Linked DNA regions of Elephas maximus indicus. The main gene of each other region encodes a partner of the protein of the gene in region 2 in a complex. Links are inferred from orthologs where the notes say so. Each region holds a gene or a part of one and is shown on either strand. Other genes may lie near its edges.

Region 1 (9,918 bases), on a different chromosome or scaffold from region 2:
TCAGCCAGCTTACGCCGCAGCAGGCTGTTGAGGCCTGGCAGACTGTCAGCGCCAGTGTGGGTCACCAGCACTGCATCCACGCGGTCTAGGTGCCGCACCAGCTTCCAGAAGCTCGACTTGGGGCTCGAGCCACCATTGACCAGGATGGTGAAGCCGTTGACAGCAAAGAAGGCGGCATCGCCCAGGCCACCGGGGAAGACGTAGCAGCAGGGCCGGGCAATCTTGAGGAAGCCCATGGCAGCCGGTGGCTCCAGCAGCTCAAAGGGTGAGGGAGGCTCCAGCGACTCAGCCACATACTCCAGGAACTCACGCAGGCCCTCAGAGGCTGGCAGCCGCGCTGGCGGGTTCAGCCGCAGCTGGAGTGCCCCTGGCAGGCTTGGTACATTGGGCGCCAGCTGGGCCCAGTTGCCAAAGGTCGGGCAGGTGATGGTGAGTGTGGGCAGGGTAGACGGCGGGGGTGCCGAGGCCAGGAGCTCCCCGATCTGTGGGGACACCTAGAGTTAGGGGACCTCCAGCTGGCCCCTCACCTGCTCCCCACCCCCTTGGGACCAAACAGCCTCCCCCACCTGGCCTGCCCTCCCCTCCCGCCTTTCTCCCCACTGCTTCTCAGACTTCTCCCCCTCCCCAGCCCAGGGCAGCTATTCTGCTTCCTGGGACATAGCTCCTTTCATGGAGCCCTCCCAGACTCCCCACCTCCCTCCACTGTTATCAACCCCAACTTCCCCAACTTTACAGAGCCCACTGCAACCTGCAATATGGAGACATGGTCTGCCGGTTTATTTTTGCCCTTTTTTCCCCAACCAGACTGAGGACCCTGTCTGCCTCCGTCCCCCTGGGACTCGAAATCTAGAATGCTCCATGAGGTTTCTGGGAAGTTGGCCAAGCTACAACCCAGCTTCCTGCAGCACACTTTAGTGAATGAGAGGACTGAGCCCTGACAACCAGGGAGCGTCCTGCTCCTGCCCAACCCAGACAGGATGAGCCAGGATTTAGAGCGGGGGCGGGCGGTGGTGAGAATGGCAGGAGGGGAGAATACACCTCACCTCCTTGTCCGCCAGGACCTGGAGGAAGTGGCGTGACGAGAAGCCCCCTGTCTGGAGCAACAGCTCTCCTGTCTCCTCCAGGCATGGCCCGGCCAGCACCACCAGCTTGTGAGGGGCAGGATCCAGCAGAAAGTTCCGGAGCTAGAGGAGGGCAGAGTGTGAAGGGTCCTACTCCCTGTAGTGGGGAAGCCCCCAGCCCCAAATCTACATACCATGCCCTTCCCTAGTCCCCACCACACAGCCAGATCAGTGTTTGATCCGGAGCTGGGATGGCAGCCCCTCCAAGAACACAGGGGCTCGTACTGAGTGAAGCAGTCAGCTTGTCGGAGGGTCTCTAATGGGGTGCCCCAGGGCTCTGTCCTGCTGCTCTCTGACGAATAATGAGGAGAAAGATCTAGACTTCACCGAGGCAGGAGCATTAACAAGTCAGTTCAGGCATTGACTAGGGCCATGGAGGGAACCTTCTGGACACCAACATCAGTGTGGCCTGTGTCCCTCCAGACCTCTGTACCTGCTGAGCCTGAGCTGGGAGTGCTCCCCAGTTCCGTCACCACCACCTGCCCCACCATCACCATGGAGGAAGGAAGAGGGGCAGGCTTCCTGGGGAAGGGGTGCTGTCGCTGGTGGTCAAGAAGAGGGTTTCAGGCAGAATGACATTAGGGTCTCAGCCACCTGTCCCCTTGGACACCAAAACCCCCTTACCTCGTCACAAAGCGACTTGTCCGACGGGTTGAGGAGGACCAGGGTGTCCAGGGCATCTCCGTGGTGGTGCAGGCTCCGCTGGCCTGTGAGTGCCGGGCTGTGAGCTGGGGATGGATCCCGCCTCCCCACGTGAGCCCCCCAGCCCGGGTTAGAATGAGGAAGGATGGGGGTGCCCCTGAGCTGCCCCACTCAGCCTTACACTGTGACCACAGTGACCATGAGTCCCCACTGCATGGTGCTCCGTGGCGATCAGAGCTGCTTTCTCTGAACACTCCCAAAAGTCCTGGTAGGAGGGTGCGATTGGCACCTTATCTTACACACTGGGGCACTGAGCCCAAGGAGGACCAAAAAGGGAGGACCAACGAGGGCATGCCAGGTAGGGGCACAGCGCCAGGCAGAAGCAGTGTGAAGGGAGCCAAGGACAGAGGGCCAGGGGTGGACCATGTGGGACAGTGGGGCTGATTCTGAGACTCAAACCCTAGTCCATCCCCCAAGAACCCAGTTCTAGTCATCGTGTACCAGGCCCTGAAGTTTTGGAGGCCAAGGCCCACCAAAGCCAGTCTCTGATCATTGAACCCCTAAGCAAGCACAGATATTGCCCATTCACAGGCAGGGAAACCAAGGCAGAGAGAGGCACATGTGGCTGCCAAAGCCACATGGAGCAAATGGGATTTCCAGACTCTTCACCCTCATGAGGGGTCAGGAAGCCAGCAGGACCTGCTAGGACAATGAGGCGGCAGGCACTTCCTTCCCCTCTCATGGTGGCCAGGGGTGACTCAACTACTGGTCTTCAGGCGGGGGGGTAGGGGGAGGTGCTGGGGTGACACCTGGTATGCTCTGCTCACAGGGTCACCCCTGGATTCCCAGGGGCTGCAATCCCCTCTTCTCCATCTGACCGCTTCTTAGTTTCCCATCTATTGAGTACCTACTGTGTACAAGGCCCTGTAGAGTGCGCACATCGGATCCCATCTCCCAACTTAGCTGCTGCTCCCCTCACAAAACACTCTCCTCGGAGGGCTCTGGGCTCTGCCCCCATGCCGTGGTTTCCTCATGTGTAAGATGAGGGTGAATACACTAGCTCCTGCCTGTGGGCTGCTGAGGACAGGTGAGCTGGCATTGGCCTCACCTTTTACGATGCTGGAGAAGGTGGCCGAGTGCCGAGACACGAAGACCTTGAGCTGCTCATCGAGGCTGCAGATGCTGGGGTCCACATCCCAGGACCGGATGCCTGGTGGGTGGCAGAAGGGAAGTCAGCAGCCCCTGCTCCCAGGGTAGTTCAGTAACTAGCACCCAGGCTGTTGCCATCAAGTTGACACCAACTCCTGGTAACCCCAGGCGTGTCGGAGTAGAACTGTGTTGCAGAGAGCTTTTGAGGCTGTGACCTATCACAAGCAGATTACCAGACCTTTCTTCCAACGTGTCTCTAGATGAGTTCAAACCACCAACCTCTCAGTTAATACTTAAGCACTTAACTGTTTGCAAATGACAGCTGGGTGGCACAAACAGTTAAGCACTCAACTACTAGCCAAAAGGTTAGCAGTTCACACACACACAGGGGCACCTCTGAAGAATGGCCTGGTGATCTGATTCTGAAAGGTCACAGCCTTGAAAACCCCATGGAGTAGTTCTACTCTGCACATACAACAGAACTGACCCGACGGCAAGCAACAAGCACCTGGGGGATGAGAGCTATCCCCAGTTCCTCCCCTTGAGCTGCTCCTGCGCCCTGCGGCAGGCCTGGGGTGGGTCAGAGCCGAGCTTGTGTCTCAGGACCCATGGTGCACCTCAGCAATTTAAGGACAAGACTCAGAACCCCCTGGATGTCATCTTATCACCTCTCTCTCCTCCCTCCCCTCCTGCTCCCAGCCTCCTTCTGCTCCTCCACTGTGCAGGCCTATTCTCAGCTCTGGGCCTTAACACCAGCTGTTCCCACTGCCCTCCCCCTGCCCTTCACGTCTCATCTTTCAACTGCTTCCCCCCTGAGAAGCTCCCACCAGGCCCTGCTGTCCTTCCCCACACTCCTTGCAACAAGCCAAACTAAACCTTGTTCCTCTCCTCATTGGCTTTTGCTACACCATGAGCCAGGACATAGGGACCAGGGTGTGCCCTGTTGCCCCATTTTATAGGTGATGAGACAGAGCCTCAGGACATGTCCAAGGGATGGAGAAGGAAGGCCCTCTGGAATCAGCGTGTGGTGGACGATACCTGCCATCACACTGTGCCAGGCAGATGCAGGTACACCTGTATGACTCACCTCACCTGGGCAGGCCGCCTACCTACGCCCCAGTTAGCATCGTGTGCAGCAACGGAAAGTGGAAAATGGAGCCTGGGGGCCCAGGCCTGGCTTCTCATCCCTGCCTCCCCCAGGTGCCCTTCCTGCCCCCCCCCAAGGATGTCCCCTTCTGTCTGCTACAGGTCAGGATGAAGTGCCTGTTCCCTAAGCCCCTTCCCATCTCCCCAACCCCTCCCCCCAGCAAGTGGCACACAGCCTTGTCTGGTCACCACCCCCTTGCAGGGACAGGACCCCGCCCCTGTGTCAGCCCCAGGAGGGCGGAGCAGCAGCTCCCTGTCCCTAGGGGGTTCCTAACAGGTCCTGGGATCCAAGGTGGGGACTTCTGGCCCCAGGTGCAAACACAGAGACCCGGGCATGGCGTATCTGCACGCGGAGACCCAGGAGCCCCAAGATGGGGTTACATGATGTCGTGGACTCCGCTTGCAACGGATTCCAGGGTTCTGGCAGGGGCGATTCCCGAACTTGGGACTCCACGGGCCACCACGGCCTGGGTTGGGGAAGATGTGCTGAGACCCGGGGGTTTGAGGCAGCCCCGCCCCTCCATCCTCTTACCCCCAGGAGGGGCCCTGCGGGCGGGAAACGGGACCGTTGCCCACGTTGCCCAATCGAGCGGGCCGGGCAGTGTCCCCACCCGTGTCCCCTCCCCTGACCGCGCCGGGTGGGGCGGGGAAGCCGGGCTGGGGCTCTGCTTCCTCTGCTGGGCCTCGGCCGCCCGCCCAGGCCTGCGCCATGGCCGAGCGGGGAAGGCCCCGGAGCCCCGAGATCGCCGCGCCCGCCTGGCGTCCCCCAGCGGCCCCCGGACACCCTTCCTCAGCCCCTGCCGCGCTCGCCCTCGGGGGCCCCCAGCTTCCCCCGGCGCCCGACCTCGCTCCAGCTCCTCCAGCACATAGGACAGCAGCCCTGGGCGCCCGCACTCGCCGCCCACCACGAGCAGCAGCGCGCACGGCGCCTCCGCCGCCCCCTGCTCCGCCGCCGCCGCCGCCATCTTCGCACCGCCCGCCGCCCAGATCGCTGCCGGCCCCGCCCGCGGGCGCCGCGCTGACGTCACCTGCGGCCAATCCGGGCGCGGCGCGCCGGGCTCTGGCCCCGCCCCCAGAAGGGGTCGGGCAGAACCCACTAAAGACCGCGCCTGGAAGCCCCCCTTTGCCGCTTTCACCCCCAGGCCCTGAGAGGAGTTACTCAGCTGGGAATCGGGGCGTTGATGGGGTCGGCTGACTCCTGGGGCTCCCCACCTGGGGCTCTCCAACTGACCATTCATTCATTCAGCCAGCATGGACCGCGCGCCTACTGCGGGCCGGACAGTGTCCCTGCATTCAGGTAACTCCCATTTTACGACCCGGATGCTCCCAGACCCCAGGATGGGGACTTGAGCAGAAAAAAGGAACTCATTTTGGAGGTAGGGCGTTGAGGGATGCGTAGGGGTTTGCCAGGTGTGGGTGGTGGGGCAAGAGCATGCCAGGCAGAAGTTACAGCACAGAGAAGTTTTAGAGATAGGAAAGTACATGTGGTTTGGGACACATTCAGAGCACACTAGGTCTGCGCGGGACTGCACTTTTTCTGATCGTACTGTGCGCCAGGCATTTTATTCCATTGTTGTTGTTAGGTGCCGTCAGGAGTCAGTTCCGACCCATAGCGACCCTATGCACAACAGAACGAAACACTGCCCGGTCCTGAGCCATCCTTACAATCGTTGTTATGCTTGAGCTCATTGTTGCAGACACTGTGTCAATCCACCTTGTTAAGGGTCTTTCTCTTTTCCGCTGACCCTGTACTTTGCCAACCATGATGTCCTTCTCCAGGGACTGATCCCTCCTGACAACATGTCCAACGTATGTAAGACACAGTCTCGCCATCCTTGCTTCTAACGAGCATTCTGGTTGTACTTCTTCCAAGACAGATTTGTTCTTTCTTTTGGCAGTCCGTGGTATATTCAATATTCTTCCAATGCCACAATTCAAAGGCGTCGATTCTGCTTAGGTCTTCCTTATGTGTTGTCCAGCTTTCACATGCATATGATGCAATTGAAAATACCATGGCTTGGGTCAGGCCCAAGTTAGTCTTCAAGGTGACATCTTTGCTCTTCAACACTTTGAAGAGGTTCTTTGCAGCAGATTTGCCCAATGCAACGAGTCTTTTGATTTCTTGACTCCTGCTTCCATGGCTGTTGATTGTGGATCCAAGTAAAATGAAATCCTTGACAACTTCAGTCTTTTCTTCATTTATCATGATGTTGCTCATTGGTCCAGTTGTGAGGATTTTTGTTTTCTTTATGTTGAGATGTAATCCATACTGAAGGCTGCAGTCTTTGATCTTCATTAGTAAGTGCTTCAAGTCCTTTTCACTTTCAGGAAGCAAGGTTGTGTCATCTGCATAACCCAGGTTGTTAATGAGTCTTCCTCCAATCCTGATGCCCTGTTCTTCTTCATATAGTCCAGCTTCTTGTATTATTTGCTCAGCATACAGATTGAATAGGTATGGTGAAAGAATACAACCCTGACACACACCTTTCCTGACTTTAAACCAATCAGTATCCCCTTGTTCTGTCGGAACAACTCCCTCTTGATCTATGTAAAGGTTCCTCATGAGCACAATGAAGTGTTCTGGAATTCCCATTCTTCACAGTGTTATCCATAGTTTGTTATGATCCACACAGTCAAATGCCTTTGCATAGTCAATAAAACACAGGTAAACATCCTTCTGGTATTCTCTGCTTTCAGCCAGGATCCATCTGACAGCAATGATATCCCTGGTTCCACGTCCTCTTCTGAAACTGGCCTGAATTTCTGGCAGTTCCCTGTCAATATACTGCTGCAGCCATGTTTGGAATGATCTTCGTTAGCCGATTTCAGTTTGTGCACAAACCTGAACTGAGGTTTGGAGTGATAAAGTCACCAGGCCCTTAAGTGGCAGAGCCCAGATTTGAACCCAGCTCTGTCTGACTCCAGATCCAGCCCGTGGTAGTGACTGACTGTCTGACTCACGTGAGCATCCCTCCGCTTCCCAATCTCATTAAACCTTTCACTGATGTCTACTACTCGAAAAATCATATTGTGTCAAACTTGGACAGTCATCCATGTCCAGGAAAGTCTGGGCTGTCTCTCTTGGGAGTGAGCGCTCTGTCTCCACACATATCCAAAGCAAATCAGGGCAGAGATGGGAAATGTCTGGGAAGTGGAATCAGCCTCCAGCTGCTCTGCTTATCTGACTTGTTCAGCCCAACTTCCTCCCTGGCCAGTGTTTAATGGCCCCTGGCCAGGAGTCCACTTCCTCTCTCTCCTTGGCCCCCCGCATCCTTCCGCTATCCCTGTCACTCCCCCTTGGCTCCCTTGCCTATGTCCAGGCAGCCTGTGATTTTCTCTGTTAGGGCTCTGAGAAATAACGGGGCAGACGTGTCTGTGACGGGGCTGGAAGCTCGTTGGGGGCCAGATCACCAGGCTGAAGCCTCCTTAGGGCCCTGCCTTGGTGCAGGACAAGGCTAGCCATTTGGGAAGATCACAATAAAGGCATATGGAATGAGATCAAAAACCCATTTGTCCATCATTTATTCATTTACTCATGATTCCTTCTTGTATTTTTTTACTGGGTGTCTTAGTTCTCTAGTACTGTTTTAACAGAAATACCACAAGTGGGTGCCTTTTACAAACAGTAATCTATTTTTTCACAATTCAGGAAGCTAGAAGTCCAAATTCGGGGCACCAGCTGTAGGGGAAGCCTCTCTTTCTGTAGGCTCTGGGGGAAGATGTTTTTCAATTTTCGTAGACCCAGCATTCCTTGAATCGTTGGTGATAGTCACAGGTCATATATCTTCACCTTCATTTGTGCTTACTTCTCTGTTCCTGGAGCCCTGGTGGTACAGTGGATAAGCGTTTGGCTGCTAACCAAAAGGCTGGCAGTTCAAATCCACCAGCCGCTCCTTGGAAACCCTATGGAGCAGTTCTACTCTGTCCTATGGGTCGCTATGAGTTGGAATTGACTTAACAGCAATAAGTTTTTTCTTTGTTCCTACTCTGCTCTTTTTATATCTCAAAAGTGACTAGGTCTAAGACACACCCTACACAGATAGGGCTTCATTAACAAAACAAAGGAAATCCTATTCCCAAAGGGGATCACATCCACAGGTATAGGAGTTAGGATTCCAACACATATTGGAGAGACACAATTCAATCCACAACATTGAGTCAGAATTTGAGCCCGGGACCTTTTAACTGGAATCCATGTTCTTCCCTCTGCTCAAGGCTGTGAGCTATGATTTTTGGTATTAATTCTGGTCAGTCATAAACGGGCCTGAGTCACCAAGATGTGTCCGCAGCAGGGATCTAACTTGGTGCCTTTGGGGGCTGGTGCGGTGAGTGTTCAGGAGCCTTGGGGTCTTCCTGTCTCAGAGCATCCCTCAGCTGGGGGGTCCTGGTGTGGAAATTGTGGGGGGAATCTCTCCAGAAATGGACAAGCATCTGGGGACTGTTCACAAAATCACAAGCATCGAACTCAGGTTCCTGGCCAGCTCTGGGCCATTTCCAGGTCATCCAGCCCCAGAGCAGTCAGGCACTGGCGTTTGCTGGGAAAACGGAGCCCTGGGCCCTCAGAACTGCCAGACACTCTCATCTTCTTCCCCTGTGTATTCCTTTTCTCTGGCTGCTGTTACTAATTACACACACTGGGCAGCTTAAGCTGTCTCTGGGTGGCGCACACGGTTAAGTGGTTAAGCACTCAACTACTAGCTGAAAGGTTGGAGGTTCAAACCCACCCACAGGCACCTTGGAAGAAAAGCCTGGCAATCTGCTCCTGAAAGGTCACAGCCTTGAAAGCCCTTCTTTGCACACATGGGGTACTCATGAGTTGGAATCAAATCAACGGCAACTGGTTTGTTTCCTGGGGGGAGGTGAGGGAGGTGTGCTTAAGACAACAGGAATCTATTGATAGTCAGTTCTGGAGGCCAGAAGTCCGAATTCAGAATGTCGGTAGGTCCTTCTCCCTCCAGAGCCTCTAGGGAGGGTCCTCCCTTACCTCTTCCAGCTTCTGGTGGCTCCAAGTGTTCCTGGGCTTGTGGCTGCATCACTCCAACGTCTACTCCCATCTTCGCATAGCCATCTTCCTTGTGTGTGTCTGTCTCTCTGTGTCTACATCTCTTTCTTTTAATAAGAACACCAGTCATTGGATTTAGGGTCCATCCTAGTCTAGTACTTCTTTCAGTACTAGAAGTGCAGCCAGAATGCTCTTTGGGAGCGAGAATGGCAAGACTTCATCTTACATACTTTGGACATGTTATCAAGAAGGACCAAGCCCTGGAGAAGGACATCATCTTTGGTAAAGCAGAGGGTCAGCAAAAAAGAGGAAGACCCTCAACGAGATGGATTGACACAGTGGCTGCAACAATGGACTCAAACATAGCAATGATTGTAAGGATGGTAGAGGACCAGGCAGTGTTTTGTTCTGTTATACACGGGGTTGCTATGAGTTGGAACTGACTTGAGGGCTCCTAACAACAACAGCTAATCTAGTATGATCTCAACTTAATTGCATCTGCAAAGACCCTATTTCAAAATAAGGTCACGCTCACAGATATCAAGGATTAGGACTTCAACACATATTTTTGGAGCACACACTCCAACCCACAGCACCCTGGAAATTCTGGATTCTTTTTCATGTCTGTGTTGTAGGTCGCTATAAGTCAGAATCGACTCCACGGCACTGGGTTTTTTTTGTTGAGGTTTAATATGCACATAACATGGTCAAGTTCCTGGAAGTCAGGAGTGGGGTTTAACAAGGCCATTGGTCTTTGGGTTGGGATCTAGAACATTCCCAGACCCCCAATGGCTCCTGAAACCCTCCCAGCTGATACTCCCCTCCCCCAGGGTGACCTCCGTCTTGTCCTCTGTCTAC
Region 2 (10,597 bases):
TGCAGAATAGCCACAAAAATAAACTCTGAAAACAGTGAGTAAAAAGTTCTATTTGTGTCTCGAAGCGTAAACCACTGTGCACCTGTATCCTTTCAGGAATTGTGTGAGCATATGTTTTTGAACATGGATGAGGAAATGAAGGCAGGATATCTTCTTGGAAATCAAAGCTGATCACGTTCACTTTCTGGCTAAAAGACCTCCAGTGCCTGTCTGATGACTATAAATTGAAATTATTCAGCATAGCATATAATGTTGTAGCATAATCTTGCTACAATCTATTTTTCCAGCTTTTTCTTTTGTTACAACTCTCTGCCTTCCTCCTTTTATACTCCAATACCAGTCTTCCCTTTATACTCCAATAACAGTGACTTTTCTCATTATTTTGTGTCTGCTCATTTAATTGTTCAGAAAATATTTATTGAGCTGCTATCATGTCTGAGCCACTCTGCTAGGTCCTGGGGAAACTGGAGTGAAAGGCACATTGCTTGCTGCTAAAGAATCCATATTCCTGTTGGGAAAACAGACAAGGAAATAAATGAATCTAACACAGAATGGCAAGTGCTATCTATGAGTAAGGTTTGCTGAGAGAGCCTGGGCAATACAGGCGGAAGGAGTAGAAAGGAAGGGATGTGCATATGGTGCAGAAGACAAAGATGCTAATCAGACTGAGGAGAAGGTTATAGAAGAGGGAGTAGAAAAAAAGATCCAAGCTGAAGGAAAAGAAAGTCACAGAAATGAGAAGCTTTATATTCAGTAAATTGCAAGTAGACTATTATGGCAGAAGAGAGGGGTGTACATGCAGGTAGTGTTGGAGATGATGCTAGAGAGATAGGCAGGAGCTGAATCCTAAAGGAACTGTATACCTTGACTTCTTTGTGTCCATTTTTCTCTTTCGAGGACACCATTTCCCTTTCCCCTGCTCAGCTTAAGCTAACAATGACAAAGCTGCTAACCAGAATTTCATTCAACAAAAATTTATTGGAACACCACACACTGTTCTAGCTGCCTGGGATACATTAGTAAAATTCCTGCTCTGTCCTGTGCTTATATTTTAGTTAAGGGAAGTTGATGATTAATGATCAACTTGGAGTGAAAATACAGTCGTCAGAGAGAGTAAGTGTTATGAAAAAAAGAAAAAGTAGGGTAAAGTAAATGAAATTGGAGTGATCAGGGAAGGGGATGGCAGGTTGGAGTATTAAATAGAATGGACAACTGAACAAAGATTTGAAGATGAGGGAGTTAACCAAGTGAATTTCTTGGTGAAGTGCGTTCCAGGCAGACAGAACAGCTAGAGGAAAGCCTAAAAGGAAGTAGTAGGAGAGGAGTCAGAGAGATCATGTGGGACCTGTAAGCTACTTTAGGAGTTTAGTGCTTATTCTGAGTAAAATGGGGAACCACTGCAGGGTTTTGACCAGTGGAGTGATATAATGTAACGTTTATGAAGATTACTCTTTTTGCTGTGTTGAGAAAAGACTCAGAGCCACAAGGGTAGAAGCAGGGAAACCTGTTAGAAACTGTAGAAATGCCAACCATCCAAGTATGTGTAGTACGAGAGTTGCCACAATTCCAAGCACTGACAGCCAGATTTCTTAGCAGAGTACTGAATGAGTCTTCAGTAAATTCTAGTGATAATTGTAGTTTATTACTTTAGTTTAGGCATATCTCCTAGTAACTTATTTAGTAGATTACAAGTAAATAGCCCTTATTCATATGTAAAAATGAACATATAGACCCACAGGCTTCATTGGCCTAGAAGAAGTCAGAAAGGACTTGCATTTTGGGATTAGTTTGTGACCTTTAAAGAGAACTCAGTGACCAAGATGGTAAGTTACTTCTAAAATTAAGCAAGAATATTACAGTTTTAGCTGAACTTCAGATGTGTTCATACACTTGAGGGACGTGCCCGCGTGAAATATAATGCCATACAGACTACAGTGATATGTGACAAACATGTTAAAACAGTAAACCAGAACAAAGAAAATACCTCTAAGAGTCATGTCATAGATAGACGTCTTTTGAAGGTATTTTATTTTCTTTAGTTTTCAGCATAGGAATCTTATGCTAAATTGGGTGGCTGCTTTGAAAAATAGCCCTCTTAAAAATTCTGTGTGATACATAAGGAGCCCTGGTGGCACAGTAGTAAAGTGCTCAGCTGCTAATCAAAAGGTTGGCGGTTCAAACCCACCAGCTGCTCCAAGGGAAAGAGATGTGGTGGTCTGTTTCCATAAAGATCACAACTTTGGAAACCCTATGAGTTGGTTCTAATCTGTCCTATAGGGTCACTCTATGAGTTGGAATAGACTCAATAGTAATGGGCTATGTGATATAGATTTCATCTATATGATATATAAATACTGTGACAAATTTTTACTTCGAAAAGGTGTGGATCAAGGTGGATGATTTTAAGACACTTTAACTTCTAAGGTTTTACTTCGAAAAAGTGTGGATCAAGGTGGATGATGATTTTAAGACACTTTAACTTCTAAGGATTCCCTTCAATAGGAAAAACACATCTAGTTGCAGAAAGGCTGTTAAGAAGAAACACAGTAAGCCCATTCACTTCTGCTGCTGTCTGTAAGAGGTCTGCTGTCCCAATGATTCCAGCTCATGCGTATTGTATTTCATATGCTGGCACTGTGTCCAGGCAGGTGAGAGGCAGTGGGGATGCAGGGAGACACAACTGCAAGCACCCAGCATGCTATGTCACTGGCAGAAAAATGGTGCAGGGCCCAGGAGGTGACCCACTACTGTAAAGGAAGCCCAAATCATCCAATACGGACAATTACTTTTTTTTTTTTTAATAATTTTTATTGTGCTTTAAGTGAAAGTTTACAAATCAAGTCAGTCTGTCACATATAAGCTTATATACACCTTACTTCATACTCCCACTTACTCACCCCCTAATGAGTCCGCCCGCTCCCTCCTTCCAGTCTCTCCTTTCATGACAATTTTGCCAGTTTCTAACCCTCTCTACCCTCCTATCTCCCCTCCAGACAGGAGATGCCAACACAGTCTTGGACAATCACTTTTAAGTTCACATTTTATGTACTCAAAATAACTAAGCTATTATAACAGTTTGATATGTGTGTATTCCGGATTCTGGCTCTGCTTGGGTTGATAGTTGGCTGAGGGTGGGGGGTGGTGTTACTTTTTCAAATCTGGCCCAGAAATAGTTGAATGAGGTAGAGTGTTCCACCCATCCTTTTGATTATTTCTAGCTCTGTTCTCTCTTCTAAAGGAGCACTTAGCGTATTTTAGTGACACTTAGGGTTTCCAAGGATAAAGTCATAGATATGTGTATTTGCTGGTACCTCTCATTCCATGTGAGAGAAAATTGTGGATAGCATTGGATAATACATTTCAATTTTGGTAGAAAAATTTACTTCTCTCTAAAAGTGTTCTTTTTGTTTGTTTTCCTCTTCTCAGTTGTGATTTTTCTCAACTTCTGTGTGTGGCAATGCACAGTGCAGTTCTTAACCTTTGCTATACATTTGTCACTTGTGGAGCTTTCAAAATATACCTACTGGCAGGGTCCGAACCCCAGAGATTTATTCATTTGATCCAGGGTTGGTCCCAGATGGTATTTTAAAAAATACCCATGTAATTTTAATGTGTAGCCAGGGTTGAAAACCACCATGGTTTCAACTTGGAGTAAAAGTATCCAGGTTCTAGTTCCTAGCTTTGCCATTTACTACTGGCTGATCTTGGTCCTCAATTTCCCACAGCATGACAAGGTTGTATAAGAGATTTATAAAAATTCTCTAACTCTAAAACAAAATTAAATAAATTGGAATTTGTATGACCTCATCTGGTTTGCTCAGCTCCAAAGAGATGAAAACCGAGCTATTTGGAGTATGAGAATTTGGTTTGAAGCAGGTGACTAATAAAAATAAATACTAAAAATTGCACTTAAGTAAACTTTCCCCTCCTTCCTCTTCCCAATTACAAGGTGTAGGAGAAAACGAAAATAGAAATTTAAGCTTAGAAATGACAAGAGACTTCTACAGCTGCTTTGTCTGTCCCCCAGCTCTCTTAAATTGAGAGCTAGTCAGATAGTACCTTGGGACAGAAGGAGGAGAGAAAGAGCTTACTACACACCAAGAAAGTAAATACGATACAAACCCCAGAGGTTTTATACTACTCTTCATACCATAATCTGGCCTGGCACTGAACACTGTGCATGTGGGAGGTGGGGTAGCGGTGTGTATACACATATGTACATACGCACAAGTACACACATACACACACACACACCCGACATGCCGCTATTCCCAGGGCTGGCAGCAAGCGCCCAGAAGAGGGGGTGGTCCCTGGTGACTTACCCCTACCTCGCCTGGCCTCATCTCACCGCTGCCCCGCCACCACAGGGAGGGTTGTCAGGGTGGCGCTCAGCCCTGCGGAGAGCAGAGGCGGTGGCGGTCACAGCAGTTCCAGGGCTGGTTTTTCATCTATGCTCGGAGCCCTTGTGGCGCAGTGGTTAAGCGATCGGCTGCTAACCAAAAACGTCAGCAGTTCGAATCCACCAGCTGCTCCTTGGAAACCCTATGGGGCAGTTCTAATTTGTCCGACAGGGTTGCTACGAGTCGGAATCGGCTCAATAGCAACGTTTTTTTTCTTTTTCCGTCCCCTTTTCACCCAGCCCATCTCCGTGCTTCAAAAAATCAGACTCCGACTCTAACCTGATCTCCCTGCTTCTCTACTTCTTCTTTAGACTAGGTTGAGTGCCCTTGGCCCAAGCGCTGGCTCACCCTCGCCCGGGTGGTCCTTAGCCCTTTTTCCTTCATAGCCCACCCCCACCCACCGTGGCGTCCTCATCCTCACACTCCTGCTAGACAGACCTTGACACCTCCAATCTCACCTCCCCACTTCTCCACGCTCTCCTACAACCTCTCCGCGTATTCTGATCCCTCTAGCCCTGTTTTCCAGAACTTCCTCACCCATCATCCGCCCACCCTGCCCGGAGCCGCAACAGCACCTCTGCTAACCACTTGTTCACACACTCCCTCCCCTCAGGTTACCCCCTCACGCTCTTCCCAGTTCCTGGCGCTCCCATCCCTGACACCCCGGGCGCCCCCATCTAACTCGATCAGGCCCTCCCTCCTTCCAGGACCCCAGCCCCAAAACCTTGGGCGCCCCACGTCTTCACACTCTCCCCTCACCCTCCGACACCTCGGGTGCCTCCCCGTCCCCAGCTCACACTCTTTCACCTCCGAACCTGACACCCCAGGAGTACCTGCCTTCTCCCCCACACTCTTCCCTCCCACTCACGACTCCTCGTGCGCCCTCCACACGTTCACATTCTCCACATCCCGGGCTCCGAACTCGGGAGCCCACTCAGACTCTTCCCCTCCGCCTCTCTCCGCCCAGCACCAGCCCACAGGTCGCGTTCGGGAGGGGGTGGCCGCCGCCCGCCGTGCCCGGGCCTGGGGAGGTGACGCGGCCCGCGCGGGAGGAGCCCCGGAGGCGAAGGGGCGGAGGAGGCGCGGGCGGCGGCACCGAGCGGCGGCGGCGGCGCAGGGTGCTGGCCTTCCGCGCCGACTCCAAGGACCCAAGGGGCGGCGGCGGCGGCGGCTGAGACCCCCGGCGGGCGCGTGATGAGGAGGGGTCGGCACCTGGCCCTGCTACGCGTCGGAGCTCGCTCGGATCCGGGCGGGCGCCGCAGCCAAGCGGCCCTGACTCTCGGACTCTCCGCCTATAGCCCCTATCATTCCTCCTCCTCCGCTTTCGCTTCCCCTCTCTAGCCCGGGGGTCTCCGCCCGCAGTCTCCGGCCCCGCGGCCTTCTCCCCTTCGCTTCTCAAGGGGTCGGGTCTCCGCGACGCCGGGGAGCCCTGTGACGCGCCAACCGGCGGGACGCCGGAGCAGCTTCTCCGGGAAATTCATCCCTGCCTCCTCACTCCCCCCGGGCTCCCGCCTCGGCGCCCCTCGGGCCCGTGGGACGCAGCCTTCGGCGTCCGGAGCCGGTTCCTGGGACTCCCCTCGGGGGCTGGTTCGCCGTCACCCCTCCCCCCAGGCGGCGGGTGCGCCCCCCCGCAGCGGCAGGACACACTCTGGCCCGACCGGCGCGCCGCCCTCCCACCGCTCCCTCCAGTCACCCCACCCTCAGCCGTTCCCACCACCTTACTCCACCGCCCTCCCCCGCCGCCTCGCGCACTTCGCGTCCGGGCCCGGCCTCCTGCTCCTCGATTCCGTGCAGCTCACTTGCCAGCCCTTCGCCCGCGGGAAGAAGAAACATTTCCCGGAGCGCACGCCCCAGCCCCCTCCCCCCGCAGGCGTCTTCCCCTCCCCCTGCTCTTTCTGTCTTGACGGAGGGGGGCTGTCGCCTCAGATTGAAGGCCATTGATTTGTATGTATTTGTCCCGGCGCCGGAGGCTGCCCCAGCCGCCCGCTCCGGTGCTGCCGCCGCTCCAGCCAGTGGAGTTGCCTCCCTGTTTCCCTAGGGTGGTTCGGCTCCACCAAACATGTCGGCTCCTGCCGGGCTCCGGGGCCGCCCGGCTCCTACCCCGGCGGCCTCTCAGCCGCCTCTGCAGCCGGAGATGCCCGACCTCAGCCACCTCACGGAGGAGGAGAGGAAAATCATCCTGGCCGTCATGGATCGGCAGAAGAAAGAAGAGGAGAAGGAGCAGTCCGTGCTCAAGTAAGGACCCGGCTCCATCTTCCCGCCTTGCCCCTTGCCCTCCACCCCTCGGCCGCTGCCCCGCGGCCGCCGGCGCGCCCCGGATCGCCGCCCTCCCCACCCGCCGGCGGCGCTGGGGCCAAGAGGGCTGAGGCCGGCGCCGGGGCTGCTTTCTGGGTGTCGAGCGCGGGGGTGCGTGTCGGGGAGGGAGGGCGCCGAGGCCGGCTGAGGTGAGGGTGGCGAATGTTCCCCGGCGCCCTTCCGGCTCTCCCCGCGGGCGGGTTCGGCTCCGAGGCCCCGGCGGGGCTGGGGCTGAGCCCAGGCTCCGCGCGTCCCTTCTCCCTTACTCGCCGCCCCCGCGCGGAGGCAGGGGCTGGGGCAAGGAATCCAATATGGCGGTGCACAGGTGCTCCCAGGCCGGACCCGGCGAAGGTGCGCCAGCCGGGGGGTGCGGGCGCCGCCGGGGCCGCTCGTCCCGCGCCGCCTCACAGTGGTTCTGCCCCCAACGCGGAGAATAGCAGAGACGCCCCCCTTCGCGGCGGGCGAGGGGCTTAAGCCCAGTCGCGTCTCGGGTGGGTGTGCGGCCGTCGCCATCTTCCAGCCCCTCCCCCTCGGCGGGTTCTGACACCCTGCACTCTGCTGCTCTTCCTGTTTGCAACTAGTAAATCTGTTTAATCCTGAAGAGACTCCAGTTCCTACCATTGCTGCAGTTTGGGATGCTTCCTACCTTGTGAAGTTTTACTGTTCGTGCTCACAGTCTAGCCGGCCGGGATTTGGCGGAGGCTGAGAGGACTGAAAGTAGCTCGCAGGCTTGGGTTTCGCGGCTGTGTAACTTCAGCACCAGGAACTGTCCAGACAGGGTTGCCTGTGGCTTTTGAGATTGCTTTCCTTGTTAGTGTAGTGAGATTTGTTTCTACGAGTTTGCTTTAAATATTTTATGCCTATTTGATTTCTCAGTTACTACGTGAAAGAGATTGTGTAGGAGATATGTTCCTCTTTGTGTTTTATTCAACTCAATTTTTAAAAATTTAAATGAATTATCCCAAGAGATTAATTTATACAGTTTACATTCCAAAGCTGGGACAGTTTTTTTTTTTTTTTTTTTTTTGCAAAGCTGAGACAGTGTTTTGAAATATACGTTTCCCATATTCTTCACAGAAACACACAATTGAAAGCGAAGGGTCTTTATATGAAGGAACTAACACACTGACCTCTAATCACTTAAATTTTAAGAACGGGTTCTTGCATTCAGTATTCTTTAATACACTTACAGAGAAGCAGTTCTTTCTTCTTATATGTATATTCTCTCTTCTGAATATATATTTCATATTTTAATGAAAATTACTACTCAAAATAATTTATGACAATAAACATACCAAATATATATAGATCTTAGAGAAAAATAGTATTTCTGACAAAAACTTGAAGGGCTAAGAAAGCAAATGTATTCCTGGCCGATTAACTGAAGTTAAGAAAACTTAGTTCTTTAAGATAATTTCTGGAATTGAATGCCTGTTTGGGATATGAAAAAAATTAAGGAATTTAAGTAGTTCATTGGAAGTAAGAGAAGAATAAATCATTATTTCTGAAAGCTTTTTGAGCACACTCCTAACTTTGCTTAACTTTGTTATGTATGCCAAGCTTTTGATATGAAACTTACAGCTTGATGTTTAGATATTTGGATTTACATTTTTACTATAATTGCTACAAATCAGTGTTGCCAAAATGATGCTCTAAAAAATATAGTTGTGTTTCTTTGATCCACATATTTAAATGTAAGATGTGCTGTTATTTCTTTATAGTATGCAAAATCATAGTATTTATTGGCTACTTTAATTCTAAATCTATTTATTGTTCTACTTTCCAAAGTACCCCACATTTTATTGGCAATAGATATTTTTCCTCAACTGTTCTAGTATATGGATATTTAAATGAACTTTTGAGTATTGAATTATGAATTACTCAAAATGCACAGTATATTTTAGTAGGAAAATGTGGAAGAGTTTTTCAGCTAGCTACATGTATATATGTTGTATTTGTATGTAAACCTGCATACTGTGCAGATACACATCATGATGTTTATACATTCATATTTACATAGTTTAGGTAGAAACAAACATTTCCTAAACATACATTCTTACAATCTATGACATTACATTGATGACAAACCTTTTCAGATTTATTTTAAGTGAATATTTGCCTTTCTGCCTAACTTAGTTTTGGCAGGGGTCTTATGTCAAATTGGACAACACAATTTCAGAATTATTTTTTATTAATTTTAACAAGAAGTTAAAATATATATATTTCATATTCCAATTTTAAACATTCTCTGAAATTCATTTGACTTTTGTAGGAAAATAAGAGTAGGCAAGGGAAACAAGGAAAGGAATACAGATTTTATAATAGATTACAATACGGACATAGTTTTGAAGAATTTGAAAGTTTACTAACAGCAAATAATATGTTATTAATATTGGGTATTAAATAATGTGTTGCATGTTAACATTGATTCTTAGAGAAGGTCATGGGCAGAGAAAAATAAACTGAGATTCAAATTCATGTCTACTGCCTCTTAACTGTGTTAAAAAAATACGTTTAATGTTTGAAGAGATTGAAACTATTGAATAAAAAGTATTTTTGCATGATCTGTGAGTTTTCAGTATTCATATCCAGTATTCATGCAAAGTGGAGTATGCAAACTCAAGGGCATCACAAGATGATATATTGGAGTCAGAAAGAAAATATTAGAATTTATATTTGCATTTTAACTTTTATTGGAAAAAAGAAAGAAACTAGGCTTTAATATTATTTAATGTATGGATTCACAGTATTCACATGCATATAATTTACACGTAAATATGCATATATTAAGAGTTTCATGCCAGAAACTTTTTTTTTATTGTGGTAATGAAACATTTTTAATGTGAGATGTGAGAGATCAAACAGATTGAGACCACTACAGTAATCTCTCCCCTTTGGAGCTTGAATAATTAAGAACTGTTTATACTTAATTATCGGAAACACTGGTGGCGTAGTGGTTATGAGCTACAGTTGCTAACCAATAGGTCGGCGGTTCGAATCCACCAGGCGCTCCTTGGAAACCCTATGGGGTAGTTCTACTCTGTCCTATAGGGTCGCTATGAGTTGGAATCCACTCAGTGGTAGTGGGTTTTTTGTTTTTTTTTATACTTAATTATTAGCAGTTTTTTCAAAGCCCAGCTGAATATCCACATACTTTAGAAAGTCTGCTATCACCATCAAATAATTCTGTCTTACATAGAATGAAATATTGTAATTTTGGAAGCATTTTTACATCTCAGTAGATCTCTGTTCAATAATTCCTTTTTTTCTTGCATGAATTCCTGTAGCACTTTTAGTTTGAATAACTCAATATCAATGAAATCTGTAATGTCCTTTTACTTATTAATGTTTTTTTTTAATTAACTTTTATTAAGCTTCAAGTGAACATTTACAAATCCAATCAGTCTGTCACATGTAAGTTTACATACATCTTACTCCCTTCTCCCACTTGCTCTCCCCCTATTGAGTCAGCCCTTTCAGTCTCTCGTTTCGTGCCAATTTTGCCATCTTCCCTCTCTCTCTATCTTCGCATCCCCCCTCCAGTCAAGAGTTGCCAACACACTCTCCAGTGTCCACCTGATTTAATTAGCTCACTCTTCATCAGCATCTCTCTCCCCGCCGCTGACCAGTCCCTTTCATGTCTGATGAGTTGTCTTCGGGGATGGTTCCTGTCCTGTGCCAACAGAAGGTCTGGGGAGCATTGCCGCCGGGATTCCTCTAGTCGCAGTCAGACCATTAAGTATGGTCTTTTTATGAGAATTTGGGGTCTGCCTCCCACTGATCTCCTGCTCCCTCAGGAGTTCTCTGTTGTGCTCCCTGACAGGGCAGTCATCGATTGTGGCCGGGCACCAACTAGTTCTTCTGGTCTCAGGATGATGTAGGACTCTGGTTCATGTGGCCCT

The links.
Region 1: the proteins of RIMS2 (region 2) and UNC13A are in contact, whole or in part, in a crystal structure (PDB 2CJS), measured with the Rattus norvegicus proteins. The link is inferred for Elephas maximus indicus from reciprocal best matches to the Homo sapiens genes RIMS2 and UNC13A. Residues at the interface, in XP_063118965.1 of Rattus norvegicus: Asp102, Gly103, Cys104, Ser109, Gln112, Val123, Leu125, Ser127, Asn128, Lys129, Val134, Met135, Trp136; in NP_074052.2 of Rattus norvegicus: Tyr23, Ile36, Trp65, Leu69, Ile70, Trp71, Asp72, Thr73, Met74.

Annotation. Positions count from the first base shown.
Region 1 is NC_064821.1:37,741,094-37,751,011, reverse strand, and holds the start of UNC13A (protein unc-13 homolog A), read left to right. Parts: upstream 1-5,137; 5' UTR 5,138-5,309; coding exon 5,310-5,355; intron 5,356-9,918. Other genes in the region: MAP1S (microtubule-associated protein 1S), read right to left, coding at 1-482, 1,044-1,184, 1,746-1,828, 2,872-2,973, 4,903-5,023. UniProt on the Homo sapiens protein: Plays a role in vesicle maturation during exocytosis as a target of the diacylglycerol second messenger pathway.
Region 2 is NC_064833.1:38,554,721-38,565,317, reverse strand, and holds the start of RIMS2 (regulating synaptic membrane exocytosis protein 2), read left to right. Parts: upstream 1-6,459; coding exon 6,460-6,635; intron 6,636-10,597. UniProt on the Homo sapiens protein: Rab effector involved in exocytosis. May act as scaffold protein. Plays a role in dendrite formation by melanocytes.